2 linked regions of the Drosophila melanogaster genome follow. The protein of the gene in region 2 interacts with the protein of the main gene of each other region in a pairwise test. Each region holds a gene or a part of one and is shown on either strand. Other genes may lie near its edges.

The links.
Region 1: the proteins of Tsen54 (region 2) and Gdap1 interact in a two-hybrid assay, tested with the Drosophila melanogaster proteins (one large-scale study listed by BioGRID).

The regions. Positions count from the first base shown.
Region 1 is NT_037436.4:5,139,958-5,156,247, reverse strand, and holds Gdap1 (Gdap1), read right to left. Parts: upstream 14,296-16,290; 5' UTR 13,944-14,295; coding exon 13,821-13,943; intron 13,729-13,820; exon of another isoform or gene 13,468-13,728; intron 13,176-13,467; coding exon 12,983-13,175; intron 12,925-12,982; coding exon 12,751-12,924; intron 12,686-12,750; coding exon 12,192-12,685; 3' UTR 12,141-12,191; coding exon of another isoform or gene 12,127-12,140; 3' UTR 11,931-12,126; downstream 1-11,930. Other genes in the region: Srp54k (signal recognition particle 54k), read right to left, coding at 1,791-2,399, 2,485-3,402; Gen (XPG-like endonuclease), read left to right, coding at 3,947-4,104, 4,172-4,478, 4,544-4,833, 4,902-5,069, 5,125-6,382; AlaRS-m (Alanyl-tRNA synthetase, mitochondrial), read right to left, coding at 6,493-6,895, 6,950-7,170, 7,233-7,518, 7,577-7,733, 7,792-8,786, 8,842-9,126, 9,187-9,390, 9,445-9,590 and 2 more; Fitm (Fat storage inducing transmembrane protein), read left to right, coding at 10,351-11,053, 11,113-11,852; Dhrs4 (Dehydrogenase/reductase 4), read left to right, coding at 14,698-14,942, 15,006-15,408, 15,471-15,776; CHMP2B (charged multivesicular body protein 2b), read right to left, coding at 15,865-16,290.
Region 2 is NT_037436.4:12,197,410-12,213,146, reverse strand, and holds Tsen54 (tRNA splicing endonuclease subunit 54), read left to right. Parts: upstream 1-7,124; 5' UTR 7,125-7,141; coding exon 7,142-7,203; intron 7,204-7,255; coding exon 7,256-7,371; intron 7,372-7,433; coding exon 7,434-7,621; intron 7,622-7,680; coding exon 7,681-8,466; 3' UTR 8,467-8,504; intron 8,505-8,740; 3' UTR 8,741-9,024; downstream 9,025-15,737. Other genes in the region: app (approximated), read left to right, coding at 1-54, 380-1,516; Ak1 (adenylate kinase 1), read left to right, coding at 9,426-9,428, 11,285-11,368, 11,651-11,773, 12,058-12,435, 12,509-12,610; CG11529 (uncharacterized protein), read right to left, coding at 14,377-15,240.

The sequences.
Region 1 (16,290 bases), 7.1 Mb from region 2:
TTTCGCTTAAGACTAGTTGAACAACAAAAACAAAAAAAAAAACACAGAAAGTAAATGACGAAAAAAAAAATTAAATCTAATTGTAAGTAAAAAAGAAATGAGAATAGATCAGTATAGAACCGAACCGGAAGCGGAAGCGAAAGAATCAAGCAAGAAGCTAAGCGAGGGCAGGCTGAGAAATTCCTGCCCCGACTTGAAAGCTACACAGAAAGCATTAAAACCGAAAATAGCAAAAGATTTAACTGTGGACGTTGAGTTGAAGTGTTGAAGAACACATAAAAGAAAAAAACACGAGGAAAACGTCTCTTTGGTAAGAAAAAGGAAAACCTAAAGAGCAAATGCTGTCATCCAAAAACCAAAAAAAAAAAACACAAAAAAATGAAACTGAACTTTTTCTGAATCAATAAAAGACAAATTGATTTTCTGTAAGAAAACAAAAACTAAATGCATTTTTTATTCCACGGTTTGGGAATTTAGTATGTAGAATATTCGATTCGCTTTTTTCAGCAAATCTTACGCTGGGGTTGGAAATCTAAGGAAATATCCTTCTGGAGAAGGGTTATCCTGCCAAGGATGCCAAAGGCATTCTGCCTCTGCGCTCATAAAATAATTTGGACTCTGTGTGGGGGCGTGTATCTGTATCTTTTCATCCCACCCACCCATAAATAAAGTCCTTTTGTGGGGGGCGCAAGAAATATGAAAGGACGCAGCACACATACACATGTATAATCTCCTAGCGAGAATGTGAGCCTATGTGTGCGTGGGGAAGCCGCCAGGATGAGGCCGAAAACTTTGACAGCGGTTCGTCCTGCTGATTTTGCTGCTATCCTGTTCGTTTGACTTGTTTGATGGTTTTATGAGTGTCAGAACCTGACAGCTTAATAGACATTTTTATGGCAGGCAATCGCCATTTCATTGTTATTGCAAAAGGCAGAGTGGCTGGGATTATGGAGTTTTCAGCACGCAAGGGAGAGAGAAAGTGACAACCCCAAAATCCCAGACGAAGCACAACTTCCGGGACAGAATCGAGGGATGCTGTCAGCCCCACCAGAAAAGCTGAGCCACCAAACACCACACGCAGAAAAAAGTGTTGTCAAAACTTAAAAAGAGAAATTGAATATAAATTTCCAAAGATTTGCAAAATAATCCACTATGATAACCCATTATGATTCAGACAAATAAAAATAAATTTCTGTCAGGTTTTTTTTTTTGAGTGTACAACCCCACTAGGCATACATTTGAGTATGTGTACAGACCCTCCCCCAAAAACAGCATTAACAATTTGCCCGCCAGCCTGTTTGTTTATTTTGGTTTCCTTGCTGCGTTGGCATCCTTTCGATCTTTCTGGGCACCTGTTCGCAACTTGTTTTTTGTTTTAGTTGTATGTGTTAGGTCAACAGGGTGACTGGATTTCTGCTTTTCGTTGCCCGAGATTAAACCCAATAAACACAACCAATTTAAAGCCAAGTTCATATATTAATTATTTATTGTTTATATCTAGTTCAATTGCCTTACTGGTATTCTGATAGGCATGCTAATTCCATTAGTTCGTGTACAGAAAACTGTTTAAACTATAAAAACTGACACTGTGGCTGCCAAGCCGTACAAAAACCGAATTTGTTAACTGTTTGCACATCTATATGGGCTTTATAGGCTATATACGCTATATTCGCTTCCACAACGCGTATCAATTTTTGTGGCCTTGGACAAATGGAAACAAATGGCTAACAAATTACGAACTACGCGAAAACAAAATCATATAAAAATCGTTAAATTTACACGCCACCTGCTCACTTGCCACCAAAACCGCTCATCAGGTTCCCCAGGCCACCCAAACCACCCGCAGCTCCTTGCTGCAGTTGCCTCATCATATTTTGGATACCACCAACGCCGCCCATCTGTTGCAGCATCCGGGGATCGATCATCTTCGCTATCTGCTGGTTGAGCTTGGCCATCTGTGTTGGATTCACATTCTTGGTCATGTCGCCCTGCTTGAACAGTCCCTTAACGCCGCCCATCTTCTTTACTACCGCCGAAAATTTCGTATAGTGTGCAATCAGTTCCTTGACCTCGCGCTCCATGACACCAGCTCCCTGGGCCACACGAACGCAGCGGTTTGGCTGCTTGCTAAAGAGCTTTGCTCCGTCGCGATTGTCCAGTTCATTATCCGACATACTGTCCATCATCGTCATCATACGCTTAACGCGCGCCATCGACTCCTGTTCGCCGCCCTTGGTCATAAAGTCCTGCGAGAAACCGGGTATCATGTTCATGAACTGGGAGAAGGGGCCCATCTTCATGATGTTCTGGAACTGCTCGTACATGTCGCGGATGGTGAAATGACCGTGCTTGATCTTTTCTAACAGCTCATCGTTTCCGTCTAGCTTCAGCTCGTTTACCTGTGCAAAATGAGTTTATATTCAGTACGTGTTTTCAATTGTATTGTAGTGCGGTATAATTTTAAGCTCGTGTGGCATGTCTCACCTTATCTATCAGTCCTTCGATGTCACCCATTCCAAGCAGTTTGCTCACGAAGGGTTTCGTCTTGAAGGGCTCCAGATCGTCGATGTGCTCGCCCGTACCGATGAAGATGATGGGCGACTGTGTGGCTGCCACTGCGGACAGAGCTCCGCCTCCCTTGGCGTGGCCATCCAACTTGGTTATGATCACCGAACCGATGTCCACCTTGTCTTTGAAGGCTTTCGCTTGAGCCTCGCAAGCCTGTCCGATGGTGGCGTCCATCACGAAGATTATGTTGTCGGGACTGACGGCATTGGACACTGCCAACATCTCCTCGAACAGTGATTCCTCCTGCTTGTGCCGACCCGAGGTGTCCACAATGATCATCTCGAAACCCTCGCGTTTGAACATATCCACACCGTCCTGGGCAATGACCACGGGATCGATTTCCGTGTAGCTGCCGTAGAACGGAATGCGCGCCTTGGTGGCGTTCTGCTTGACCTGATCGTAGGCACCAGCACGGAAGGTATCCGCGCACACGAGACACGACTTCCAGTTGCGCTTCTGGTAGTGATAGGCCAGCTTGGTACAGGTGGTGGTCTTACCGGAGCCCTGCAGACCCACAAACATGACCACATTGGCCTTGCCCTTGATGGGTTGGTAGGGTTTCACGCCGGGATCGACCAGTTTGACGAGCTCCTTGAACACAGCCGATTGGATCATTCGCCTCTTGTTCAGGCCACCGGCCATCTCATCGAAATCAATAACGGCACGCACATTCTCGCGCAGCTGCTTAACCAGTCGGATATTCACATCAGCCTCCAGGAGCGCTGCGCAGATCTCCTTCAGCATGGAATTCAGTGCCTCCTCATTGATTACGGTCGCCTTGCTGAGCGAGTGCAGCGCCGTTGTTATCTTGCGACCCAAATCCGCGAGAACCATCTTGCCGGTGGTGGTTGTGTGTGGTTTGGCGTACGGACGACTGGCAGCTTCTGAATTTTGTCGGGCCTACTCGCAAAGGGGCAGCTTCAATTCAATATTTTATTTCGACTTTCTTTTGGCTGACACGACACGTCGACGTGGAAGAAGAAGAGACTGCTGACCACTGGCCATTCGCAGCGGTCGCTTGTGCAGCTGTCAAAACAAAGCCCGCTATCGGTTATCGAGCATGCTTCGCAGTGACTGGCGGAAGTCGCAGTGCTGTCAAATGTAGCTAGAGACAAGCTCAAAAAAAGCTAAAAACGAAATGTGTTCTTAAAATCGAATAAGATGACATTTATATGTATAATATTTGTTATTGAAAATAGCATCATGTATTATTGTTAAAAAAGTTATCATTGCCAATTATTGTCACAACTTTGCACTTGGCTGCTTTTGAATATAGCTTCAAGTAGCTAGAAAGTAACTGATTGGGCAACTCTGACGAAGAAGCGATTGTTTAAATTTGTTGCGAATTTCTCGCGGGGTTTTTGTTTAGCTTATTTAAATGGGCGTCAAGGAATTATGGGGTGTTTTAACGCCCCATTGTGAACGTAAACCCATTAATGAACTGCGGGGAAAGAAAGTGGCCATCGACCTGGCCGGCTGGGTGTGCGAATCTCTTAATGTTGTGGACTACTTTGTGCATCCAAGGCATCATTTAAAGTAGGTTTAAAAAATTCTTAATACCTTATATTCTTTTAAAATATTAATATTTACGCTTTACCAACAGGAACCTCTTCTTTCGCACTTGCTACTTGATTTGGGAGCAAGTTACTCCGGTTTTCGTTTTGGAGGGAGTTGCTCCAAAACTCAAGAGCCAGGTGATAGCCAAAAGGAATGAGCTCCAGTTTCGGGGAGTGAAGCCCAAGAATTCGCCTGAGTGCACCCAAAGTCAGCCGTCCAAGGGCGACAAGGGACGCAGCCGGTTCAACCATGTTCTCAAGCAGTGCGAAACGCTGCTGCTCTCCATGGGAATCCAGTGCGTCCAAGGTCCCGGCGAGGCGGAGGCCTACTGTGCCTTTCTCAACAAGCATGGCGTACGTATATCAACTACATCCTCACAAGAACTCTGTACCAAATCCGATTATATTCCTGTCCGCAGCTAGTGGACGGCGTCATTAGCCAGGACTCGGATTGCTTTGCCTATGGAGCCGTTCGTGTCTATCGCAACTTCTCCGTTTCCACCCAAGGAGCCCAGGCAGCCGCCGGCGGAGCTGTGGACATCTACGACATGCGGGAGATCACATCCCGAATGGACTTTGGCCAACAGAAGATCATTGTGATGGCTTTGCTCTGCGGCTGTGATTATTGTCCTGATGGCATAGGTGGCATTGGCAAGGATGGCGTCCTAAAGCTGTTCAACAAGTACAAGGAGACTGAGATTTTGGATAGGTAGTCTACTACATTGTTACATATATTATATTTTTAAAGCTAATAAGCTTTGATTATTATTTCTGCAGAATGAGAAGCTGGCGTGGTGAAACCGATAAATACAATGCCTTGGAGATCCGAGTGGACGACAAATCCATCTGCAGCAATTGTGGCCACATTGGCAAGACCCAGAGCCACACAAAAAGTGGCTGCAGTGTGTGTCGCACACACAAAGGCTGCGATGAGAGTCTCTGGAAGTGAGCTATTTCCTAAAACTAATATAAACATTTGTTTATTAAACTCTTCCCTTAGAGAACAACGACTATCCATTAAGTCCGAGTTGACTTTGAGGCGGAAAGCCCTATTATCTCCTGACTTTCCCAACGAAGAGATCATTGCCGAGTTTCTCAGCGAACCCGACACCATTCCCAATCTAAATCTCAACTGGCGGCAACCAAATCTTGTCAAATTCATCAAACAAATCGGACATCTCTTGCAGTGGCCAGAAATATACTGCTTCCAAAAGTTCTTTCCCATACTCACACGCTGGCAGGTGCAGCAATCGAAGCAGGAGAAGATACTTATCCAGCCACACGAGATTATCAAAAAGCGAACTGTGAAGGGTGTGCCCAGCTTAGAATTGCGCTGGCACGATCCCAGTGGCATCTTCAAGGGTCTTATTCCGGACAAGCAGATTGCGGAGTACGAAGCGGAGCATCCCAAGGGAATCGAGGAACTTTACTACACCATTGAGCCATTGGACATGCTGGAGACAGCGTATCCCGATTTAGTAGCGGCCTTTTTGAAGTCGAAGGAGAAGCCCGCCAAGAAAACCACGCGAAAGAAGAAAACCGCATCTGAAGAGGAGAATAAGGAAAACGAGCCGAATTCGAAACCAAAGCGAGTGGTCAGAAAGATAAAGGCTCAGCCTGAAGAGAACCAGCCATTACTGCACCAATTCCTAGGGCGCAAGAAGGAAGGTACTCCGGTCAAGGCTCCCGCTCCGCAACGTCAGCAATGCTCCACCCCCATCACCAAGTTCCTGCCCTCCGATCTGGAAAGCGATTGCGATGCCGAAGAGTTCGATATGTCGGACATAGTTAAAGGCATTATCTCGAATCCGAATGCCAAGCCAGCACTGACCAACCACGATGGTCACCAGCTTCATTACGAACCCATGGCGGAAGATTTGAGCTTACGTCTGGCGCAGATGAGTCTAGGAAATGTGAATGAATCGCCCAAAGTGGAAACGAAAAGAGATCTCTCTCAAGTGGATCAACTACCGCAGAGTAAGCGATTCTCCTTGGAGGACAGTTTTGATCTGCTGGTCAAGGGAGATCTGCAGAAGCTGGCCAGGACGCCAGTGGAGCGATTCAAGATGCAGCATCGCATCAGCGAAAAGATTCCAACGCCAGTGAAGCCCTTGGATAACATAAGTTACTTCTTCAATCAAAGTTCCGATAATGCGGATGTCTTTGAAGAGTTGATGAACTCCAGCTTGGTGCCCCAGGATCAAGAGGATAACGCAGAAGATGAGGAGGAGGATGACCTGGTAGTGATTAGTGATTAAAGATTCTGAAATTCCTTAAAACTTCGCCATTTACTCGCTCCTCACATGAGCAATTATTCAAAGGGCAAGCTTACAGCTAGCACATTTTGGAGGGTAATCACAACTTATACCTATAGATAAAGCTTAGCGTATGCATGTGCCTTGGACATTGCCTGCTCCAACTGTTCCTCGAACAGATTGCTCACCCGTCGACCCTTCATGTTGCACACGGCCTGCGGATTTTGGCCCTTGGGCGCGGCTATTTGTCCATTAAAGGTGTCGGCAAAGGATTGCAGCCAGGCGGAAGCGTTGAATTTCTCCGTGATACACTTTTCTGGTACACAACAGCGAGCCTTGACCACGCTATCACACACGCTGATTACGAGGATGGGCCGATCCGGGCACAGCTTGGTGGCTCGTTGCAAAGGAATCTCCTCCACGAGCGCGGAACTGGTGATGTAGTGCAGAATGAAGGGGTGTGTGTCCAACGGCTTCTCCTGCAGCAGCGTGCGCATCTCTACGTCCACAAATTCTCTGAAAATGTAGAGTTTAGAAATGGAGCACATTACTTTAATAAGTTAAACTTACTTTAAGGTTGTGCGCGATGAATCTTTTATTCTCTTCAGCATCTCGGTGATGCGTTCCAGCGTGTCCATCTTAAAAGCGTATGGCAGTTTAATGTCCGTGTGCAACATGTTGTGCCGAATCGTCTGCAGTTCCGCCTCCGTAGCGTTTGTGAGTTTGTCAGTTTGGAACTGCTTCTCGAGGAGATCAACGCGGTGTCGCAGCAGGGCAGCCGTTTTCAGCACCTATTTGGAACAGAGTAAGAAGATTAAATGACTAGTCTAAGGCGATATATAAGTCCACTCACATTTTCCGCCGCCTGGCCAGCAACGGCGGTAAATGCGAATCTCGCACGATTGGTTTGCTTGAGATTCACGATGCAGAAGCACGAAAGCTCACTGGTGTTGGTTGCATGCGTTCCGCAGCACAGTTCCTTGGAGCTCAGCTGCAGTTCAGGACTCTCCACGTTGACTAGACGCAATCCCTGCTCAGGATAAACCTCGCCGGGCACCATTGTGATGTCATTCTGCTCCAGAACTTCAGCTGCACTCAGCAATTGAACTTCAACCGGCGCAGCAGAGCAGATAACGCGACTATTGCAAAGGATTGTAAGTTAAATTCATAAAAATTTCTAATATCAGGACGACCCACTTGATCAGATCCTCGATGAGCTGTACATCGGTCTTTTGAATGCGCTTGCCCAGGAGTCCCAGCTCCAGCTTGCACTGATCGCTGCTCACAGAACTGGAGACCTGGTAGGTGACCTTCTTGAAAAGCGATCGGATGGCGGCGTTTAGTAGATGCGTGGCTAGAATTATAGGGATTGATTGTAATCGGTTCTAGTAACTCTAACATATTCATCTCACCTGTGTGATGGCACGTGTTGAGCTGTCTCTGCTGCGCATCCACCTGCAGCTCCACCTCATCCCCAATGGCCAGCTGAAAGGCGTCGGTGGGACTGGATAACTTGCAGATGTGAACTACGCAATCGTTGAGATGCTTTACACCGATTACGTCTAGTGAATGAGGATGGTCTGGCTGTTGGTGATTGCTCACAAGGATCTTTCCGCCATCCGATTGTTGACCTCCGGATTCATAGTAGAAATTGCTGCCAGCGGTCACAATGGAAATAAGGTCGGTGAAGGGTTGCTGTATGCGACTGCCTTGGGTTCGTGACACTTCCGCATCGTTGAGGAGCATTCCGAGGACTCGAGTCTTTAGTGGGGGTATTTGGTATGAATCACTCTCCTTGTCGAAGGAGTAGGTGTACTTGTGACTGTTGTCGGTGGGTGTCAGACGCTTCGTTAGCATCGCCTGAGCTTCAGCAATACGCTGCTCCGTGGCCAGATCGCAGAGTGATCCTCCAGCAGTCTCCCTTTGGTTGCCCTTGGCTTTGAGCTTCGCCAGACTGACCTCCGCCCTGTAGCGCTCCAAATCACAGTTCATGTTCTCCAATTCAGCCAGCTTGAGGAAACTCTCCTCGGTCAGGCCGTAGGTATCGGTCAGCTTGTAAAGGAAGTCCCCTGGTATTGTGTTATTGGAAAACTTGCAGCGCTGCATCTGCAACTCTCGATAGGCGGGCACGAATCCCGGGCACTCCATCAGATCGATGTCATCCAGATTGGGAAACTCCATAAGCACCTCTGCAAACGCTTTGGAAGAACTCTCTCTTAGATTCTTGTAGACCTCCTGCTCGTGGCAGATCAAGTCGATAACAGCCTGCTGCTTAGCCGCCATCTCTGGATAGGCTTCACCAAGTGTCTCCACCACAATAGGAACTAGCTGGGTCAGCAATTTGTCGTGGGCAAACACATGCTCCGAAATGTTGAGAGCTTTGCGCAGCACGCGACGCAATTTCTGACTGAAATAGATATTGGATTATATGCGAAATTTGCAGGGCATGAGTACAAGCTTACTTTTGATCTGGAAGCATGCCGTCGGCCAAACAGGCGGTCACCATGCGTGCATGATCGGCTAGTATCCTATAGCTGGTGTCGAGTACTGCTGCATTTCCACCATCCGGAAAGCTGCCACTGTAAACCGGAGTCTTGGCCGCCTGCTGGATGCCATCAAATATCGGCGTGAACAAGTCCGTATCATAGTTAGAAGACTTATTCTGAAGCACAGCCGTTAGCCGCTCAAAACCCATGCCGGTGTCCACATGATGAGCGGGCAATTGAGAGATGCTGCCATCGGCATGACTATCAATGCATAAAGAACCTTAGGCTAGGAACACAATCCACTTGAAGGCAAATCCTCACCGATTGTACTGTATAAAGACAAGATTCCAAAGCTCTGTGAGATCGGAACGACCTGCGTTCACCAACTTGGCTCGCTGCTCCACGCTGCCCAAATCCGGGCGATGATCTATGTGGATTTCGGTGCAGGGACCACACGGCCCTGTAGCGCCCATTTCCCAAAAATTGTCGGCGCAGCCAAAGGGCAGTATTCGCGAGGCGGGAAAGCTGCAAAGCACGAGTACTTAAGAAACCAACTTCTCGTTATGTAACAAGCTTTACCCCAGGCTCCTCCAGATCTCGAAACACTCCAGATCGGCTGGAATGCCCAGCACCTTGTCGCCAGCAAAGTATGTGACGTATAGACGACCTGGATCAATGTTGTAGGGACCACGGAGCAGCTCCAGGGCCATTGCACACGCCTCCCGCTGAAAACCCAAAGGTCTCGTGAGAAAGAAGTGATAGAGGGTAAGCTGAACGCACCCACCTTGAAGTAATCCCCAAAGGACCAGTTGCCCAGCATCTCAAAGAACGTGTGATGATAGCCATCCGTGCCCACCACGGAGAGATCATTGTGCTTTCCCCCAACGCGGACGCACTTCTGGGAGTTGACAACCCGCTTGTGTGGCGCCGCTGCTGTGCCCAGGAACACCGACTTGAACTACAGCGAAGGCCATCGTATAAACAAGCGAACAATAGCTTTTAATGGGCCTGTTACCTCACCTGATTCATGCCCGCGTTAACGAAAGCCACAGTGGGATCGCAAAAGGGCACCACCGGGCTGGAGCGAACGAACTTGTGGCCATGATTGACGGTGAAATGATCCAAAAAGGTTTTACGAATCTCGCGCGCTGTCAGCACGCGCTGCAGCTGCTTGGCCGAGTTGTACATGCCGCAGTTCAATTAAAACCGCACCGGCAATTAAAAATGCTCGAGATAAATCTCAGGCCCGAACAGCTGATCACATGGCTTGCCATTCGCCACGAAACCCGCTCTTTATAAAAATTCCAATCAGAGTTGCCAGTCACAGTGAAGCGTGCTCACCAGCTGCAGCTGTTCTATTTTTTACAGGCGCAACACGTACATTTGGGCCAAAATAAGAATTGAAAAATTACAACTGAGAACAACGCAGTGGGTGCTCTAAGCCCGGCGAAAAAGCAAACAAATTGACCAGTTGATCTGATTTGAATGCGCTGGCACTGTTTGGTCACAGGTAAGTGCGTCTGGCAACCGTTGAACTTTGACACGCACGATTCCTTCGCTTTCACTTTCGCTTTTCACTCGCAGCATTACCAAAAACGGCAGCAAACAACGCAGTTTTCAAGTGACACACTTTGGACCCGAGCAACAGCTCCAGCTATGGCCACCAAGCGACGTCCGCTGCGTCCAAATTTGGGCGGTACTGCGGGAAGTCCCTCCTCCTCCGGTTCCAACATGAATTTCAGGCCCGGAGGACCTGACATCACCAGGTCGGAAGCGCGCGGAACGAGGCCCACGGCCGCACCCACTAGCATCCGCGAGATCCTGGTCATGGGCGTCATCCATTTGTGCAAGAAGACCATATTCTTCAATACGGACCTCAAAGTAGCCTTGTATCTGGGCAGTCTGTTTGTGATCTCCGTAATCGGGGACTTTGTGCCCTTCCCCAAGACGTACTTCGCCCGATCGGACAACCTGTTCAACCAGTACTTCGTGAAGATCGGCTGGGGCTGGACGCTGCTCTTCGTGGTGCCCTTCCTGGTGCTCTCGGCCTATACGATTACGTGTGGCGACCACAAACGGATGCTGCGACACCATTTCCCGCGCATCGTCATAGCCACCTTCTTCTGGTTCTTCTGGACCAAGCTGTTTAACGTCGTGGAGAACTCCTACGGACGCTGCACCACAAAGGGTGGGTATACAAGCATCGTGTAATGAATTTAATAATAACTATCGCGTGTGCGCTTCCAGGTTATGCGACCAAATCGAGCTGTTTGAAGGCTGGTCATCTGTGGAAGGGCTTTGATATATCCGGACACGCCTTCATCCTGATCCACTCCAGCCTGGTGCTGATCGAGGAGGCGCGTCCCATCATCCGCTGGGAGACCATCAAGGAGCACATCCGCAACGAGCGACACAATCGCAGCACAGCCGAGAACTCGGGCACGAATCCGCTGAGAACGCTGAACGAGGAGCAAATGCGCAGCCTGCAGTTCTTGTACAAACGCCTGACGCCGATCATTCGCACCCTATTCATCGGCATGGCGGCCCTGCAGCTGCTGTGGGACATCATGTTGGTGGGCACCATGCTGTACTATCACCGCATGATCGAGAAGGTGATCAGCGGCATTATTGCCATACTCACCTGGTACTTCACCTATCGCTTCTGGTATCCCACGCCCGGTCTGCTGCCTGAGGCGCCTGGCAACGGAAGCTTCAGCTATCAGCGAGAGATACCCACCTTCCCCTTCAAGCGACCCTCGCATTTATCCACGGGTGCGGCCACCACGAGCTCGGGATCCAACAGTTCGAGGACCAACCTCAATGGCAAGGCGGCAACGACGGGAGTGCCAAGGGATCAGCAGATACCCACGTTTATGGGAATGCCGCTGTTCACCAGCCCCAAGGCGGCCAGTGCAGCCGCCAATTTGCTGATGTCCGATCAGCAGAAACGGGAAAGGGATCGCGAGCAGCAGACGCTGGAGAGCTGAGAGCTGAACCCTGGTCAAGTCAACAGAGGGGAGAGCAGCCATCAAGCATAGAAGGAATTGATAGTTAGGTGACGGATTGGAATTTATACCAAATTTTTGTATATTCAGCAACGATGATATGAAACGATGATGATATTACTAAGCAAGCAGCCGAGGCTGGCACTGGATCGCGCGCTCTTCTCCTCATCCTCCTCCACCGCCGGATTCTTACCATGACACCCCAAGCATCCTTCATCAGCAGTGCGTAGCTTTAAGCGTTCTTATGTTCGTGTGTTTATATGTGCCCAACTTTAACAGTAAAAGGATTTGTTAACAAAGTCTGCTGTCCCGCTGCTCCGCTCACTTGTGCGCGAAGGCGGCGAACATGGCCATACCCAGGAAGCCGGCGCCCGCTCCTAGCTTATAGTTGCCCGGCGTTCGGGTCCACATTTCGCGCAGTATGGCAAAGTTGCTCGGCTGCAGGCGGTGGAAGGACTCGCGCTGCCGGAAGCGCAAGAAGTATGCCTCCACCTGCGGCAGCTTTCCGAAGGTCCAGAACTGATTCTCGAATCCCAGCTGATACAGTCGATGCAGCAGCAATCCCAGCGAGATATCCGCCACGCTCAGTTCGTCGCCGGTCAGCCACTCAACGCGTGGCGCCTGGGCGGTTAGCTCCTGCTCCACATAGAGCAGAAAGTGCCGCACGGCATCCAGAACCTTCTGGAATTCCTCGCGGGACGAGGCCAGCTCGTGGCGGCGCAACTGTATGTCCAGCTTGTGCTGCAGCGCTGCTTTTTTGGTCGCCTGTTCGTCCACCGAGTGGCGCAGCAGATCCAGCACCTTTTCATTGTTTTCTGCGGGGCGTACGAGTGTTGACTGTTGAGTTATGTTGTTGAGTTCACAGGTGCGAGTAACTTACTCAGGCAGGACTGGCGCACGGGTCCGATGAAGGGCGCCTTGGGCACCAGCTTCAGATCGTCGTGTATGAAGGAGCCCAGGCTGAGTGTTCCCACTGGAAGGCGGGCCATTGCCTGCTCGAAGATCAGCATTTGATCGAATTCCTTGGAGTTGTGCGCTGGCTTCAGCGATCGATCTAAATGATGAAGTTGATAAGTCAAGTTACTATGGGCGGGTAGCTAACTGGGAATTACCACCGCGAAATTTGCTCTCCACATAGTTGATGATGTGCGTCGAGCTGGGAATGACGAGGGCGCCATCCTGGAGCACTGGCACATCGCCCTTGGGATTGAGGTTTAGGAACCAATTGGAGTACTGCTCGCCATTGCACAGGTCCACCACATAGGGAAAGAAGTCGATCTTCTTCTCGTAGAAGACCATAAGAACCTGCGATGATAAGTGGGTTCACTTTAACTGAGCTATGATATTAGCAGATTTATAACTCAGATATTAAGTATATATGTGCATTTGCTTAAATGTATCTAAAGACGAACCCAAAGATGCAATATTCCGCTACTAATTACTCGCTTCATTAACCAAAACAGATATTTTTAGACACGATCTGGCATTAAATTAAATCATTTCGGTTTAGTTATTATATTACGTTCTTTTGGAGCAGATTCCTCCACACATAAGTTTGTTTATTTTGTTTTTTCACTCCGCTTCAATCCACTTCATTAGCACCTGGAGCAGCCAGCAGGTAAATATGCTGTCATATCTGTACAGAATGGAAAACTAGAGAACTCCAATAGCGCTAGCCCTACTACATTTCCGGCCCGCCACCCGCTAGGTCATGCTCCATTGCATCCGAGTGGCCGAGAGATTTAATAAAGATCTTGGGTGGAGAACCTTCGACGCGGGCCACCCCATTATTACATCGAAAAAAACAAAAGAAATACGAGAAAAAAAGTAAATAAAACGATGATTTCATTTGGAAATGATTAGTTTTGTAATTTCGCGGCATTAGCGGCTGGATCTGTTGGGCAAATACCTTTTCAATGATCACATGATTGAAAGCAAGCGGTTACTAACTTTTTGCGCATGGAAGTTGTACGGATGGAAGAAGAGCACTGGCTTATTGGCCGGCAGATCGGGAGCCTTGAAGTCCTGCAAGGTGGGCGGCAGAGCTTCGATTTCCTTTGTCTGCTCGCTCATCTTGTTCTATGTGTGTTTCACTTAATATTCTTTGGCTTAGTGTATCTTTAGTTTGCTGATTAGTTTCACTAGCATGGGCGCCTTTTTTCGTATCACATGCCCCGCCGACGGTTGCGAAAAGTTGCTAACTAACAAAGCCGTAAGCGCGTGCCGGATTGACTTGGAAAACCGGAGACTCCACTTGCGTGCTGATTCCGCCGACGACTGCGTCTATAATGAAGTCAGATCGTACGGATCGCTGCGATCCCCTATTAATTTGCACTTTCGGCTCGTATGTACATATATATAGTACATATATATGTTTCGGATCCGAAAACAGTCCATTATGTCAAGCGATTCTCCAACTTTTTGCGGTTTGTTTGTCATGCGTATTTATCTTTGTTTATATTATTACGAAACGCAGCGTTTATCTTGCTGTGGGAAGATTTTCTTTTCAAGAATTCTTATCTGCCCATGACTGAGTGGCCCTAAGTGGAGTATTACAACATATTGACTAGGGATAAATGATATTTTTAGCCCTAATTTTAGTTATTATGTAGGTTAATCTGGTTTTTATTACTAAGCCACTGCAGAGATAACTTTAATAAATTTTCAAATTTCGCGCCACCGGCGAATGAGCTTTTTCATTCACTGTGAATGGCAAACCGCTGAAAAGAAGAACTAGTAAACAGTTTGGAGATTCGTAGTTAAAATAGGGAAAATCAATTATTAGGCAACGAATCTCAAGATCCTTCGCAAAAGTCCTACTTCAAAAATGTTGCATCTGAGCAAACAACTGGTGGTCAGGGCGCCCAAGATCCGTCTGAATGCCAGCGCTGTGAGTGGAAGTGGTCAAAGTTCAAGTTTCGATCAAAACAGCAACAATTACAGCCGAAAACTTGTTGGCCCTAATCTCAATCAATGCCACAAACGCTTGTCCAGCAGTAGTCAAAGTTCGACAGCCGGCACGATGAAGCGTTTGGCAGGAAAAGTAGCCGTGGTCACCGCCTCCACCGATGGGTAAGCAGCTCAATAGAAACTGGAGAGGATCGCACCCACTAAATTCTGATTAATCCCTCCCAGCATTGGTTTCGCGATTGCCAAAAGGCTGGCCGAAGATGGCGCCGCAGTGGTCATCAGCAGTCGCAAGCAAAAGAATGTGGACTCTGCTCTGGCGGAGCTGCGCAAACTGAACTTGAATGTCCACGGTCTGAAGTGCCATGTCAGCGAACCCGAGGATCGCAAACAGCTCTTTGAGGAGACCATTAGCAAGTTTGGCAAGCTCAACATTCTGGTCAGCAATGCAGCCACCAATCCTGCGGTCGGCGGTGTCCTCGAGTGCGATGAGAAGGTGTGGGACAAGATCTTCGATGTGAACGTGAAGAGTTCCTATCTGCTGGCCAAGGAGGCACTGCCTCTCCTGCGCCAGCAAAAGAACTCCAGCATCGTTTTCGTCTCCTCCATTGCTGGCTATGATGCCTTTGAGGTTAGTCGCCTTATCTGCGGTTCAGTTGTTCAATGCTTATCTCCGTTATCTTAATCGCATAGCTACTGGGAGCCTATTCCGTCAGCAAGACCGCGCTGATTGGCTTGACCAAGGCAGCCGCCAAGGATCTGGCGCCCGAGGGCATTCGCGTCAACTGCCTGGCTCCAGGAGTCATCAGGACAAAGTTCTCGAAAGCACTGTACGAGAATGAGTCGGCGAATGAAGCGGCTTTGAGCAAAATACCCATGGGTCGTCTGGGCACCAGTGAGGAGATGGCTGGCGTGGTCTCCTTTTTGGTCTCCGAGGATGCGGGCTACATTACCGGAGAGTCCATTGTGGCTGGCGGTGGAATGACAGCTCGTTTGTAAGCGGTGTACATAAATATAATTTCTTACGGGCTATGGATAACAGCGATGTTCACAGTAGTTACAAAATAGAATGAAAAACAGGTAAGGACTAAGAGGAGCGCAGCTTGGCCAGTTGATCGGCAATGTCCTTCTCGGTGCGCTTGCCACTCGTCTCAAAGTCTGAGGATCCCGTGGCCGGGATGCTGGACATCTTGCCGGAGATCTCGATGCCGATCTCGTCGAGCACCTTGTTGACTACGGCATTGGACTCCTCCTCGTCGCCGGACTCATTCAGCATGTCGTCCAGCGTGTCGTTGATCATCTCGTCGGTCATTTCCATCTTCATGTTGGCCGCCTGGAACTGGCGCACTGTTTCCCCGATGGCCTCCGGTCGCATCACCTTATTCATTTCACCCATCGTCTTGGCCGTGGTGCCCATGGCTTCGCTTAGGGCGATATTGGCGCCCATGTTCTTGTTCTGGTAGCCAATGGACTGAATCTTGCCCGCTGCTGCGTATGTGCGTGATTTCTGCTT
Region 2 (15,737 bases):
GGCGGCGGGATCAGCATTGGTGGAGCGGAGCTAAAGCCCCGATTCTACGACGAGGTAAGCGGCCAATCCAGCGGCCACATTGAGTCAATCCAAGAGCACCCTTTCACCACCGAAATCTAAAAATATCTAAATGTCTGAGCACACTGCTTGCTTGATATCCTTTATATATTTATATATATATATCAAATCCAATCAAATCAAAACTCTCGTACGATGAACTCTTTTGTGCACATCATTTTGACGATCTGTAATTCAAATTTTTTTCTTTTTGTGTTCTATGCAATGTTCTTTTTGGTAATCTACTACTACCTACTACTACTACTCGTATCATACACCACAATCGACACAATCACACCACGAATACGACCACGATAACCAGTCCAATCCCTCCTCCTCGACACTGGAGGGCAACGGAGGTGCCATCAATGGCCATGGGAATGGCCATGGCAACGGCTTCGATCATCCGCCGCCCAGTTACGATCTTGTCCAAAACGGTAAGTCCCGCAAGCATCACCAGCAGCGCTGCTCCCTGCAAACCCTGCTGCCGGCCAGTGCCCAGCAGCAGTTCAAGGCCAGCAAACACAAACACAAGCAACTGAAGCAGCACCTGGTGGCCGCCGAGTTGCAGCAACATGAGGGCGGTCCAGGACCGGGTCCCAATTCGCCCTCGCTTCTGCGCTCGCCGGCTACGTCCTCCTCCTACCGGTTGAACCTCAAGCGTTCGCTGCACCTGCCGCTGACACCGTCGTACGACGATGTCCGCCACTCGCCGCTCCCGCTGCTGCATCACCACGTTCATGCCCAGCAGACCACAGCCATTGGCACGGTGGCAGCAGCAGCAGCGGCGGTGGCATCCGGCGCCAGCGGCACCAATACCGGTACCGGCACTGGTACGGGTGGTTCCTCCTCCTCCGCCACCACCACCGCACCCACTTCGGTGTCCGTGTCGTTGGCCACGGCACCACCGCCGCTGGCGCCACGACGCCCGTCGACGCTGCAGCTGCAGGCCAGCGGAGCAATCTCCGCCAGCAACAGCACTCTGACCACCATACACACTACGGCGCCGCAAGCGCCGGCGCCCACGGACTTCAAATACTATTCGCCGCAACGCAGCACCGACTCCAATCTGATGAGGAACTATCCGTTCCCGAAGGCGGCACGCGGAATGCGACGTCAGTCGACCATGTCGGTGGACTCGCAAAAGGTTAATATAGCCGGCTATCAGCCGCTGCCGATGCGTAAACCGTACAAGCACCAGGAGGTGATGTTCGAACTAAAGTCGCCGACCAACCGGCTGACGATTCGCGAGTGCGACTTTGGCGGTGGCGGTGAACCCTGCGATGACGATCAGTCGATCAAGGACAGCCAGATCTTTCGTGTTAGTAAACGAAATCTTTATATGAATCACCGGTCGCCGTGGAAGGAGCGCGACCGCTACTCCAATCTCTATGAGTATTCGTTCAACATCGATCTCAACTCGATCATCGAGGATGCGGCGGGCAGTGACTCGTCATAGTACGCAGCAGCAGTCCGCTGCTCCGCCGCCCTGGGCCACGGTCACGTCCATCGCATCGGTGGGCTGGTCCGTCTCCTGGTCATCCTCCTCGATCGGTTGTTGGGCGCTGTACATAAGGCCGGGCCCTGGCCAGCCCGATTCCTAATGCTTCCACGCTTTTGCTAAGGCGCCACATCGGGTCCAGTTTTCCGGAATGTGCCCCACTTATTTTGGGGCAACTCTGTTTAGCTTTAGACTCGAGAGCAGCTTTTCGATTATGGCTATAACTAGGAATTCGTTTAGGATTTAATATAAGGGCTTGACTAGGCATTGATTAAGTTTTTTTTGAATAGTTTGCAATGTACATATATTTTAATCAAGGCTGCAAGCCATTTGTTGACCGAACTATTTTGAAACGGTTCGGGTTTATTTCAAATTCGGACTGTGATGGATTTTATTTAAGAAACTAATTCTATAATGAAACTGGCTTATTTATTTACACAATAAGATTCTAATCAAAACCGGATAACCCTATAATTTTGCCCAAAAGTCGCATTTTTTTCACCATCTATTTACCATTTATCAATGTGATTTCTTTGATTTCGATTTGCAAGCAAATATTTTGCTCAACTGAGTGTTGAAAACTTGGAGCCAAAGCAACGGAGCGAATAAATTTAAAAGTTTGCAGCCTTGATTTTAACTTTGAGGGAATCTATCACAGTCTGATTGTGGCACATTTGTGAGACTCACTTGGCTTCCAGGATGCGCATAGTTGTTAGTGCAAATGTAACCGCTACCCTTTTGCAGCCTGAAAATCCGCATCTGTATCCGTATCCGTATACTCGTATTCGAATCTGCATTTGTGTGTTTGCACTCCCTCTTTTTGTAGAAGTCGAACTTGTATTTGATTTGTGTTTAATGTTTGAAACCACCAACCCTTGCTGTAGACTTTCCCCCCGTTCCACCACCAGTTCCAGTTCCACTTCCAGACCCCCCGAAAAACTTGGTTCATAGAAACTTTTGCGTTTATATAGCACCTGCTTCCCAGGCTAGGTGCGTCGGATCCCTCCTGCTGCAAGATGCGTTTGCAATAGGGGGCGACTCGGCGCCAGGGGCCGCTAAATGCCACCCGTGTATGTATGTATCCACCTTGGTCTACGTCCCAGCGCCGCCACCTCCAATAGTGAAGACACCAACTAACCAACTAACCAACTAACCAAGCAACCAAACAACCTACTAACCAGCAAACCAAAGATCCAAAAAACCAGTAAACTAGTAAACCAGTAAACCAACATCCCCAGCCAAGCATGTTTGACTAAGTTCGCCTGGTAAAGTGCTTAATGATTTTGCTTTTTGTTGGGAACCTTGTGAGATTTTTGTAAATGATCGCAGTCACTTGGGCCTTCAGTTGAATTCTCGATTAATTTGGAAGGTTTCAGCCGAACATAGATTATGAACGAAAACTTTAACTTGCAATTAGTGAAATTAGCAAAACAAAACAAAAAGAACCGAAAAGAATATGAAAACAAAAACTTAATGAGCCAAAATAACTGCCATTTATCGAAGCAACATTTTGTTAGGACTTTTTTCATTTTTACAATGAAATTTAAAATTAATTGTAAACGTAAACTAAACGACGGAATTCAATAAGAATTTGATAAACTATGTATCAGTGCTAAGGGAACGTCGAACATTTTAAAACTAATAGTGGAAAACGAGAAATTGTTGCAAACGAATTGAATATCAAATATCGAATATGTCTTAATCTTGAATATTGGAACATTGCCAAGTGACTGCTGCAAATAATTAGCAATAAACAAAATACCGAACAATGCGAAATGTTGAAATTGAAATGAAAATGAAAACGAATATTGAAATTGCAAATATTTATACCTAGTTCGTAATAGTTGAAAGACAAACATTTTTCGGGCACTAAATTGCTGGACTTTTGTGGAGGTGAAAATCGTAGGTATACATATATGTAAGCCAGCTTAAAGAAGTAATTGCGGCTCAAATGCCGCCTACAAGGCTTTAAATCTTGAGCATTAACAATATTATGGGTTCCTTTTATAATTAATTGCAAGTGTAATACGCATTAGCCAGATAATTGAAGTTGTAGCTAGTTATATATATTATATATATACATATTATATATATATGAAAGCGAGTGTTAACTGATGAAAACGTAAATTTATACATGTACTTATATACACACATATGTATGGTTAAATGTTGGGCAATAAAGTGTATGTAGCGTATGTTTAATGTGGATCGAAAGCAGATCCATAACTATCTATAAGTACTAATCCCGATGTTGAAGCGTATCGCATCCTTTCAGGAAGATCGTGAGACCTACTTGCGATCCTGAACGATTATTGGAACCATATATGCATATGTAGCCCCCGGCGAATCACTCACACACACATAGACACGAAATGAAGGCTTCAGATTTTCCACTCCTCTACATTTTCCATTATCCATTATCCTTTAGGCTCCCCGATTTTGATTTTGACCGGCTAAAGCTCGCACACATCCACCAAGAAAAAACAAAGCTATAACCCTCCTCTTGATTTATCGCACACTAATGTCAAACTCTTTCTGTATCTTTCAACTTGACTCTGGGATTAACTAACAAAAAAACAAACAATACTTACAATTTGTGTCTGTAACTATTTAATGACCCAAACTAAAACTGCAATTGAGCGAAAGTTGTCGAGGGCCGCTTAAGACTAGAGTAAAAATGCATTTTAAGCCTTAATTGGGTGAGTTCTCTCCTAATGCAAACACATTTGATTGTTGTATGTACCGAAATAAAAATAACCAAACACCGAAATTTAATCAAAGCTTTAGAGTTTCGTTTGAAATTAGCTACACCATAACCATACATATATCTTTGAGTTTGATTTTCTGCTGCTTAAATCGCCACTGCGAAATAGCTGATATTCTATTATGTTGCTCATGTCGATGATTTGTTTCCACCATTAACCCAAAATGCATCACCATTCAATATAAAACAACCATCCGAACACAAAACAAAAGTCAAAGTTTAATATGGTATTTAGCAGTAATTTATTGGCAAGCTACCTACTAATTGCACTCACAACATTTTGAAAGCATGCTTTAAATTGTTCAATTGGCACCGACTTAACCACTGAATCCATTATCCATTAATTAGCGTCCAGTTTCCGTCTTTATTTGCGCATACTCTACGGCGTTTGTCATTCAATTTTCAGTTATCATTGTTGTTTATTCGGTTTTAGGAGCTTATCAACTGATGAGTTTCGAATTAAGTTGATTTCCAACCAGTTCCGAGGCAGTTTCTCCTCAGATTGCAATTACACGTGTATTAGTTCGATTGAACACACAAAACAAAACCCGCCCCCGCATTTGATTGAATTACGATTTTAATTTGGCGCCCTTTTCAGCATTTATGATTATTTGCATATTTAAATAGTTTTATTTTGCCACAGCTAAACGATAGCGAACCTAAACAAATCATCAATGACCACTAGCAAAAGAGCAATAAAACCACTAGATACAAATGCTCCAAATTGAAATTTGAATTTTAAATTAGTTGGCAAATTCGTTGTAATGAGCATTTCAATTATATACGTGCATTAATTAAACATACAATAGAACGAAATTAAATATCAATTACTAATCACGCGCTTTCGTTGCGCCCTTCTCCCCTTTTTTTTTCCGTCTCGTTTCCAGGTAATTCCAATAGTCTAGCTCAGCTGGTGGACAACGAGATACCGCTGGTCCAAATGGACATTCCGGCTTATACCCACCAAACGGCCACCCAGGCGCGTCAGTACCGCCATCGTCATCACAAACAGCGCCAGATATGCAATGGCGGCACTGTTAGCTATGAGAATCAGTTGGCCAACGCCAGCAGCGAGGATGAGCTGGATGATCCAGATGTTGTGGTCGTGGGCAGTCCCGAAGTGGTGGCTGCCGTGGCAGCCATAGCCTCCAATAAGGCAAGAGAAATGCGCAACCGCAGCGGAAGCTATAGCAATCTCTTCGATGCTGACTTCGAGGCGGCACTGGTCAACTCCTCATTGGCGGATAACCATGTCAGAGGTGAAGGAGCAAGCAGTTCCGGAAAGCCCTCTGCGGGCGCAGCTCTATTAGCGGCTGCCATCAGTGGAAAAACGGAGAACATGTATAGCAATGTGTTGCCAGTGGACAATGATACGGATCCGGCCGATTCCACGCTGCATGTATACTCCAATATCATCGATGAACGCAAGCAGCAGGAACAGGCAAACAATGTACTGTCCTCCACTCTGCTCTGCGACGATCTCGACCTGGACGATCCGGTTAGTGCTTCGTGTCATGTGAAAAGAAAGTCCCTGGGCGATGGAGCCGAGCAGGTGAAGTCGGCGGAGAGATTGAGAATGCTGCACGACAACACGATGATAGACACGGCCTTGGATTTGGACAGCTTGGATGGCTCCAGCATGGGCAACAACTCACAGTCGTGCCTGGTGAAGTCGGGCAAACCGAATGCCACTTCCGTGACCACAAACGTGGCCATAGTCTAAGCGGTCCTCTTTGTCCTGTACATAAGTGTAGATATTCATGTCAAGGGGGAGAGTATTGTTAAGTTTTCCCTACTTTTAACTGAATCGATTTTCATTTACTATGTGTGGTGGGGGGAGGGGGTGCGGTGATTCGATGGAGAGGGGGGATATAATGAAACGACCTATCAGCAGGCAGATAAAAAATATTACCTTAAAGCGTTACGCATTTGAAACAGAAAGAGAAATATATCTATGCATATATGTAGATGATAATAACTAAAGCATTTACGGATATATGTATGCATATGTATAATACAAATGTGGTGAACAATGTTAACAATTTGAGGGCATTAACAAAGGACAAATTAAAGGAGCAACCAATACTATGGAGAAACTGTTTATACAATACACGACGCATACATATAAATGAGTTATAGGTAACATATACATAATGATAAACAATATACAATGTACGGTTAGTTATAGTGTATAATTTTTGTATTTAAGTTTTTACAAACAGCAGAAACAGAAAGGGGTTCGTTTCGCAGTTCAGAGTTTAAAAAACATTTGCGGTGTAGCCAGAAACCGAAGAAACAAAGAAAAGAAAGCCAACTAGAAATATCCTGCAATATACGTGAAGTTGAAATTGTCGAGTCGATGAGAAAATGTTAACAGCATAAGAGTTAAAAGCAACAATGTGGTGTATTAAATGTTCATAAATCTACCAATAAGTGTATTTTCAAGGTGTAAAATGTTATATGACATCAATTAAAACGAGTTCGAGATTTCGACAAGCTCCATTGCATGAGAGGGCAAGAAATGTTAAGCGTATGTTATGCGAAACTAACAAAACTACAATTATACAAAGAATAAAGATTTATAAATAGAGAATAATGGTGTATTGCTTTTTGGGAAAGGCCATCTAGGTGTTGAATTGAATAAGAATGATGCAAACTGAAACTTAGAAATTAGGGTTTCAGAAATTTTTTCTTAAGTTAAAGTTACTCCAAATTTCAAAAACGATATAAGCCCGCCAAAAGTAATCGATTCATCGGTAACAATTGGTAAGCTTGTTAATGATGGTATATTTGAACGGATTGGCCTTGGTCACACTGACATGGACACCAAAACACAAGATTCAGAATATGTGGAAATTCATCCAAAAAATAGCTATTTAAGGTAATTCCTGACTGAGATATGAATACCTTAGCTTAAAATCAATTAATTTCAGTGCCCAGGAGCTCATTGCGCATCGTCACACTGAATTCGAACCTCCGAGTGGAGGTCTAAAGCGTACTAAAAATGAGGGAACTGCAGCGGAAGTTGAGGAGCTTAAACGAGCGCAGGGTTCGAATTTGTTATAAATATTTAACACCAATATATATATTATTATGTTTATAACATTTTAGAGTATTTGCGTGCTCAATTGTCAGTGCCTCGAATAGAAAGACTCGGAGGAAGGGCACTTGCCATTTGGAACGAAGAGCAACAAGTGGCAGAAGTCAAACGCAAAGATGGTAAATTTGAAAATTTCGGATACAGTGAGCAGGGAAAGCTCTATTTGGAGTACTATGAAGCTATGTTCCTACTAGAAGTTGTGAGTTATAAAATCGCCCTTTAAATTCAATCGAGATATATGGAACATGTACTTTTCAGGGACGTTTACAACTGGAGTACTGTGGTTTAGTAGTTTCAATTGAGCAAGCATATGTGCTCCTCCTCGGCGAGTTGGAAAGCGAAAGGTACACCAACTACCTAGTTTACTCGGCTTTATCCCGATCTGGCTATATAGTAGTGAAACATGTGCCTCCTAAGGAAATTCCACAAGAAGTTACGAGTGCAGATTGTATTTGGGCACTGCTGAAGGAAAAAGTGGGAAATCTGCCAGTACCAGATCATATCAAAACCTCACCCATTTATCCTATCGCGGAAAAGCGTATGGAAGATTTAAAGGAACTTATAACATCTCAAAAGGCAGAAGATCCTAATATTGTTGTAGATCCCATAGATTTGAAATTCGGACAACGAAAACGTATGGCTGTGGAAAAACCAATCGAAGAACCTGCTAGTAAAAAAGAAAAATTCTCCACAACGGGCCGAAGTCTCGTGGATCAACTAAAAGGCGAATTTGCATATGCCAAATTCGAAGAGATCTTTGAAAAGTTCGATTTGGTGCAACTTGAAAGCCAAGATTATACCAAAGACGAATTAGATACGCCCTCTGCTTTGAAGATAATCTTTGATTTACATCTGCACAATAGGGGTTTCAAAAAAAGTGCACCCAACGCACCAAACTTTAATGTAATTATACTTCCATCGCAGGTGGCGTTTCCCACCCACGACAAAATCTCCAAGATTAAACATCTTCTCACCGCACCACTGCTCGTCATATCCGTAAGCGAATCCAAACAGATACAGGCCTTTCTGTACTATATTAGTTGATGATTGCCCATACAGCGGATGTGCCACCTCAATAAATTGTACGTGTTAGTATTTTAAAAGCTCGAATAGTTTATTTTATTTACCAGACATTGTTTATAAAGAATGCCGGCACGAGAATGCCCAAAAGAACAAGCAAAACTAATCAAAATATCCAAATATCCGAAAAAATGTATTTATTTTGATATTCAGGCATTGTTTCTGAACAATTTGTGTTCAGCTACGGTATTCTGTTAGTTATACCCTACATTAAAAATCTAATACAAATATGTTACAGGAGGATGTTCCTATGGTGAACTCATGACCAGAAAATTCAAATGAAGTATATCCCCATCGCATTGGTCAAAATGGAGGTAATCAGGAGGAGACGGGAGACAGACACAATGTTAAAGGAAATCCAATTAAATATGGATAAGATCATAAATCGTCACAATAGCACTTTAAAGAGTTGGATTCATTACTGTTCCAACACAAGCTGAAACAAAATTAGCACAAATATACATAGATTCAATGAGTTAAGAAGATAAGCCAGGATCATAAGAATCAAATTTGAATTTGATCATGACAATACGAATTTCCTACGACAATACACTCAAAATTTGAATTGACCAATTCGGGTTATACTCGAAAACGGCCAAAATAAAAGCACTGTTAATCGGAAAGCTTTGTGCGAAAAGCTCGCGTGTCTGTGCGCAGTGAAACCGTTAGCCGAATCGGATCGAATCGAAACGGAATCGAAAGCCTTTTCATTCACTCAGTCACTCTCAACTCACGCAGCACAGAGGGTGGGTGGAAAACAGTCGGGCGGAGCATTCGAGAATCTGGGCGAGAATCGACCGACCAAGTGGCGCTAAGGGAAGGCTAGTAAGGCATCCGGCTAACAAACTACCGAATATTTCGCGATTTCTTCAGCGAAAGGCCCGCAGCAGCGACGTGTATATCTAGTATACATCATCATCATCATGGTGAGTGTTTTCAGTGCGCGGTTGCTGTGATTTGTGTTTTCGTTTCTGCTTAATGCCCAATTTATTTTTATTTGTTTGTAACCCACACACACACACCCCAAATGTTTCACTCTGATTTAAAACGGCCTTGCACTCCAACGGGGGAAAGTGAAGCAATGGCTTTAAAATTGAGGATTCAGAGCGGTCAAATCGGCCTTGAGCCACTTGCATTGCACTTGACCTTGCAGCCCAGCGTTGCAATTAAGAAAGTTTCGGGGCCACAAGCTTACTCAGCTTTTTTTTTTTTTTTTGAAGCTGAGAATGGGGTATGAGATGAGAATGAGAATGAGAAGCTCCCGGTCAGCTGTTCCATGTTTACGGTTTTGTTATAAATAGAGCCTCTCCTAATTCCAACGATTACGAATCTGTGAAATTCCCTACCCGAACAAAACAAATTAGCAACTGAAAGAAACAAACAAACAAAAAATAAATACCAAAATTTCACATTCCAAGCTCGAACAAACGAATTTTGACGTCAAAATCCCGATTTGAATAAATTTATGACCAGTTGCTCGGCACACAGGAATTTCTGGCGGGGCTTGATTCATTAGCAAGTCCCCAGCCTCGTCGCCAAAAAAAGCAGTTTAAATGTGTTTATTGGCGCTACTCGAACTAGACAGTCATGCCGGTTTTTAGTCTTGGTCGCGTCGCATTATTAAAGTGTCAAAACAAAGCAAAAAAATTAAAAAGAACACCATATAAAAGATCTAGAGGCGGGTTCCATAAAAATTCCTCTAAGTTTGCTGGATAGTTTTTTAGTTCCGTTTGAACGGAAAGCATGTGTGCAGTTCTTCCTAGAAAATTATAGTTATAGTTAGTTCTAAAAATAAACAAAGGAAAATCATCCTAAAAATACATATATCGAAATCAAAAGCCGAGTTTCGTAAAAATCCACGTGAGTTAGCTAGCTGAATAGTTTGAATAGAAAGCACTTGTGATGTCGCTGCTATAATTTTCTATAATTACCCTTAAGTATTTGGGAACCTCGACACTTGTTAAATCACCATGTACAGGTTAGTTTTGAATTATTAACAACGGCGAATCCTTGGAAATGACATTGAAAAGTCACTGAACTACACAATCTATATAAATGTGAAGAGAAATTACGTAAATGAGCTTGAAAATCATAAATTCTCACACGCAACAATTTAAATGCGTAGAAATGTGCCATAAGAAAAGTCGGTGAAAAACAACGTCTGCGTTTTTATGCTCTGAGGAAAATCGAAAAATCTATAGGTGCCAGGCAGCAAACAACCTGGGCATTATTAAGCTGTCCGAATCCGAATTCATTCATTTTCTATATTGTATTTTCATTTTTTTTTTTACCCCATTTTTCGACGGGTGCGACAATGCGGAACAGGCGAAAATCGGCGGGGGCCTTCAAAATACAAAATACTATATCAAAAGCTGATCTGCACACACGCTATATCTATCTATCTATATGGTCACGGGCCGACAACGGGAGCGATGGCATTGTTTATACTAATCTAGATTTTTGTTGATGAGATCAAGCCATTATCAATACCATTTGTGTGAATGGAGCAGAGGTGCCAATTGCCCCAAATTACCCCAAATTGAAATGATATGTGTGACGCGGGGGTTTTCTGTACAAGATCAATGTCAGGGGCCAATGAAATATGTGTAACCTATATATATATAAAATCCCATTTTTGTAGTAAGAACACTATTTCGTGCTGGCAAAGTGCCCAAACTACTAATAACTACATATTAACCTATGCCAAAATACATCTCGGATGTAGTTCAAACTATAAGTCGGAGATATCTAACCATCCTCACCAACTATCTCGATTGTGTAGTTATTTATGTGTCACCAAAGGGTTATGAAGAAGGAGGCCGAGGAGAAGCTCAAAGCCGAGGAGCTCCGTAGGGCACGTGCCGCCGTAAGTAGCCCAACTGGATCGAATCCGAGTCAACGGGCACTATATCCTATTTACTAGGATTAGTTGATGTATGGCATGTTAACTGTCTGGCCGCCGCTTCACCAAAAAACAAACGAATTTCGATCCGAGAATATTGAAAAAAATAAACCCTCTTTTGAAACCCTCTATCCATGCCCCTTAATCCAACTAAGCTTGCGTACGTGTTACCACTAAACCAGCTAATTGTAGATGTTCCTATGCCTCGGTGTTGTGTGCCTGCTAACTCAAATCTTGTCCTTACAGGCTGATATACCCATCATCTGGATCTTGGGTGGACCCGGGTGCGGCAAGGGCACTCAGTGCGCCAAAATCGTGGAAAAATACGGATTCACACATCTGAGCAGCGGCGATTTGCTGCGCAATGAGGTAATTTGGGCGGAAATACTGGAATAGTCGGTGCTATCTGTTGCTTGCAGATGGCAAGGGTGTATGGCGATTTTGGAAAATGATTATATTTGGATCGCAAAATTCATTGCTATTCATTGTTATTACCCAAAGTATTGCGATGCGAACTTAAACTATTGAGATAATTATACGTTTCCATTGAAAGAATCATTTAATATCTATATGGTTACTTTCAATTCAAATTAGCTTAGAATTTCAATTGTTAATAATTATTTATTAGTTTCTAATATTCCTCTATCTTGTAGGTGGCTTCTGGATCGGACAAGGGTCGTCAGCTGCAGGCTGTGATGGCCAGCGGTGGCCTGGTGTCCAACGACGAGGTGCTGTCCCTGCTGAACGACGCCATCACGCGGGCCAAGGGTAGCTCGAAGGGATTCCTCATCGATGGATATCCGCGTCAGAAGAACCAGGGCATTGAGTTCGAGGCGCGCATTGCACCCGCCGATCTGGCGCTGTACTTTGAGTGCTCCGAGGACACGATGGTGCAGCGCATCATGGCACGTGCCGCTGCCTCGGCGGTGAAACGGGACGATGACAACGAGAAGACCATTAGGGCACGCCTCCTGACCTTCAAGCAGAACACCAATGCAATTTTGGAACTTTATGAGCCCAAAACCCTTACGGTTAGTATCGCATATGCATTTTCCATGTGCAAAAGTCCCCCAATAATTAGCAACTCTTTCGTTTTAATCACAGATCAATGCCGAGCGTGACGTGGACGACATCTTTCTGGAAGTCGTCCAGGCCATTGACTGTGTGCTGAAGAAGAAGCAGCAGAATGCCGCCGCCCAGTGCTAGTAGAATGCTAATCCATTAGGAAACCGGTACCAAAGTCAACATTTCTAGTGCACTTTTTAGCGCGAAACACACAATCTCAGAGCTGAGCACAAATGAATGCGAAACACCAAATAAATTAGTCTAAATCTATGTTATGTTATGTTATGGCATTATCCTTTAATTCGTGACAAGCAATAATTGATCTAGTGCTTTAAATAAATTTACACATACAAATGGAATGTTTCGAATCAACTTTAGGCACCCTCCACTCGTTTTGCCTGAGAGATCATAAAATGTTAATAATTAATTGAGCAATGACTGTAATTTGATAGTTTGCATTTTCTCCAAGTATTCTATAAAAATGCTAATCTTGACTAGGCACGATTTAGGGCTTTAATTTAGCTAATTATTCATAAACTAATTGAATGATCCAAGGGCGCGTGTGTTTGAATGGAAAACATTTGAAAACGATTGCCTTGAATGTTGTGATTGCCACGTGATTTATTATCGAAAACTATAAGACTACATTTTGTTCACTGAACCAGTTTGCTATCAGCGTTTAAATGTGGAAGTTCCAGTAGAACAAATTTATCTAAAATACCTTGCTAAATATCTCATTTACATGGACATTTTCGTTGTGAACGAATACACTGATTAATTGCTGCTCTACAAGGAGTTTTATAGACACATATAAGATTTCGTCCATTTACTTATTTATGGTTAAATGGCGAAGACGCTTTTTATAGAGGCACTTTCCAAATTCTTTGCATATATGTATCTTTGCTACACATTAACAAGTTGCACCCGATAAACTGCTCTAGTCACAATAAATTATATGGCTTTGCTAGCGAATTTAAATCAGATCAAGTCATTGGATTAATTGATCAACTGCCAGAAATCCGTTGGGGATTTCTTGCTGAGCCCAGTTAAATCAGAAAAGTATTTTGGGCCATAAGATGATATCAATTTGTGATAAATCTGCCATCGAAAGGAATGTTCTGCCAACGAAACGAGTGCGTCACGAACATCGATTTGAACGCAAAATAGAACTGACACAATTTGAACTGAAATGAAAATCTCCAATCTCGAAACTGGTAACTGGTAGTAATAGAATCGTCCATCTATCACGGAACTAAATACCAGACGTCATCGTGTGAATGTGGAGCTCCCCATCCAACTGGAGTGGCTTCGAGTTCTTGACGTTCGGATCGAGTCGAGTCGAGTGTAAAGTCAATAGCGAAATATTATGTAAAGTAAGTGGTTTTCGGAAGATGGCCCATAAGCAATTATGGGGTTCGTAAATTATGTAAAGATCTCTGGAGGACCGCGTGTACGAAAACCCCAAGCTAACAATGTGAATAGAAAACGAAACAGTTAAACCGCTCAGAAATTATCACTTTTATCGATCGAGATCTGAGATCCCTACGAAATGCGGGAATTCCAATTCCACAAAAATCAGCATGACTAAACAGACAGAAAAGCCGAATCAGGTTTCAGTTTTTTGTGGCTACTATATGTGTGATTTTTGTTTTTTGTTTTTATTTTTTCATATTCAATTTCTTTAGATTTTGCAACATTTGTTGCTTTCTTTTTGTTTGCGAGTCCGCTATCACGCTTACAACTAAAATAAATATAGATGTTTTTAAATAGTTAACGCTATAAACAATGTGCAGATTTCAATGAGAGCTACGATATCACAAGATTGGAGAATTCCTTTAAAAAACATAAAGCTATAAAGTTTCAGTCAGTGGTTTGTTGGGATGATTCCATCCGCAAAATGAGGCATCCTAAATGAGATTGTTATCACTGTACTGATGGTGGTGATGTTGCTGCTGTGGTCGCAGGTACTGCTGATGTACTTGGCCATGGCTACCAATCTTGCTCTCGATCCAGTCCAGATAGTGTGTGACGCGGGTGAAGCCTCCGGGAATATTGGTCTCACAACCATCGGCTGGCCCGAAACTGGTTATGCCCACCACTATTTGAGTGTCCTTGAGAACGAGTGGACCGCCAGAGTCACCAGTGCACACTGTCTCATCCTTCAGGCCCTTGGCACAGATCACTCCCGACGTGACCACATCGTACTCCTGGGCGCACTCCGCATTTGAGATCACCTTCAGCTCGGTGTACTGCATCGAGTCCGAGTTGGTCATCTCCACCATGGCGCCCCATCCGCTGGCCACCACGCTCATGCCCGCGAACTGGTCATGTCGATATCTGCTTGGCAGCGAGGCGGGCTGAATTCGCGGTGTGAATGCCACATCCTGCGGCAGCTTGACCAGCGCAATATCATTGGCCGCCGTCTCCGGATTGAAACGTTCGTGCACGATGAACTTGTTGGAGCGGAGCACCAGACCGCCGGACACCTCCGTATCCTCCACGCTCTTGGTGCCCAGATACACATCGTAGTGGGTCACGCCCATGGTGCAGTGTCCAGCTGTTAGGATCCAACGTTTGTCCAGCAGTGTGCCGCCGCACAGAATCCGTTTGCGCCATAGCTGCTTGCCGATGAGCATCACCTGGTAGGGGAACTTCTCGATCCTGCCGTACTTCGATTGTCCCACGGCGTAGCTATCCGTGGGTGTGGGCTTCCACATCATTAACATGATCACTGCCAGTCCCAGCAGGTGGGCTATGCTCTTGTGGATCATTTTATTTTCTGTACTGCACTTGTCACTGAATCAGTCTCGTTTTGCGAATCTTGAAGTTAAGTCTTTTCGCTTTTTTTTTATAACTTTTTTTTGCGTTTCTCTGAGTTCTGCGCGCTTTGAATGTTCGCTTCAATCTAAATCGATTCTGATGGAGCCGTGATATTTTATACCTCGTCGCTCGCGCTCAGCAAAAATCTACATATTTCGCCGGCTATCTCCGCCGCTCCGAACTGGACAGATCGGCAAAGGCTTCTCCAGTAGCCGGTTGTTATGACAGCCAGCTGGTCGTAAAATCTCGTTTATAACGCTGGACGGAGACGGAGTCTCCCCGAATCTTAGATTTTCATTTGGCGCGTCTAACCAAAGGCAAAGTTCAAATTTTAAATGGGAAACGGAAGTGGAATTGTGCTAATTTGATAGCGCCTATTCCCGAAATATAAGATTATGTCCATCGGGTATGAATTATTTCGGCAGCCCGAAGAGATTTCCTCGAATTT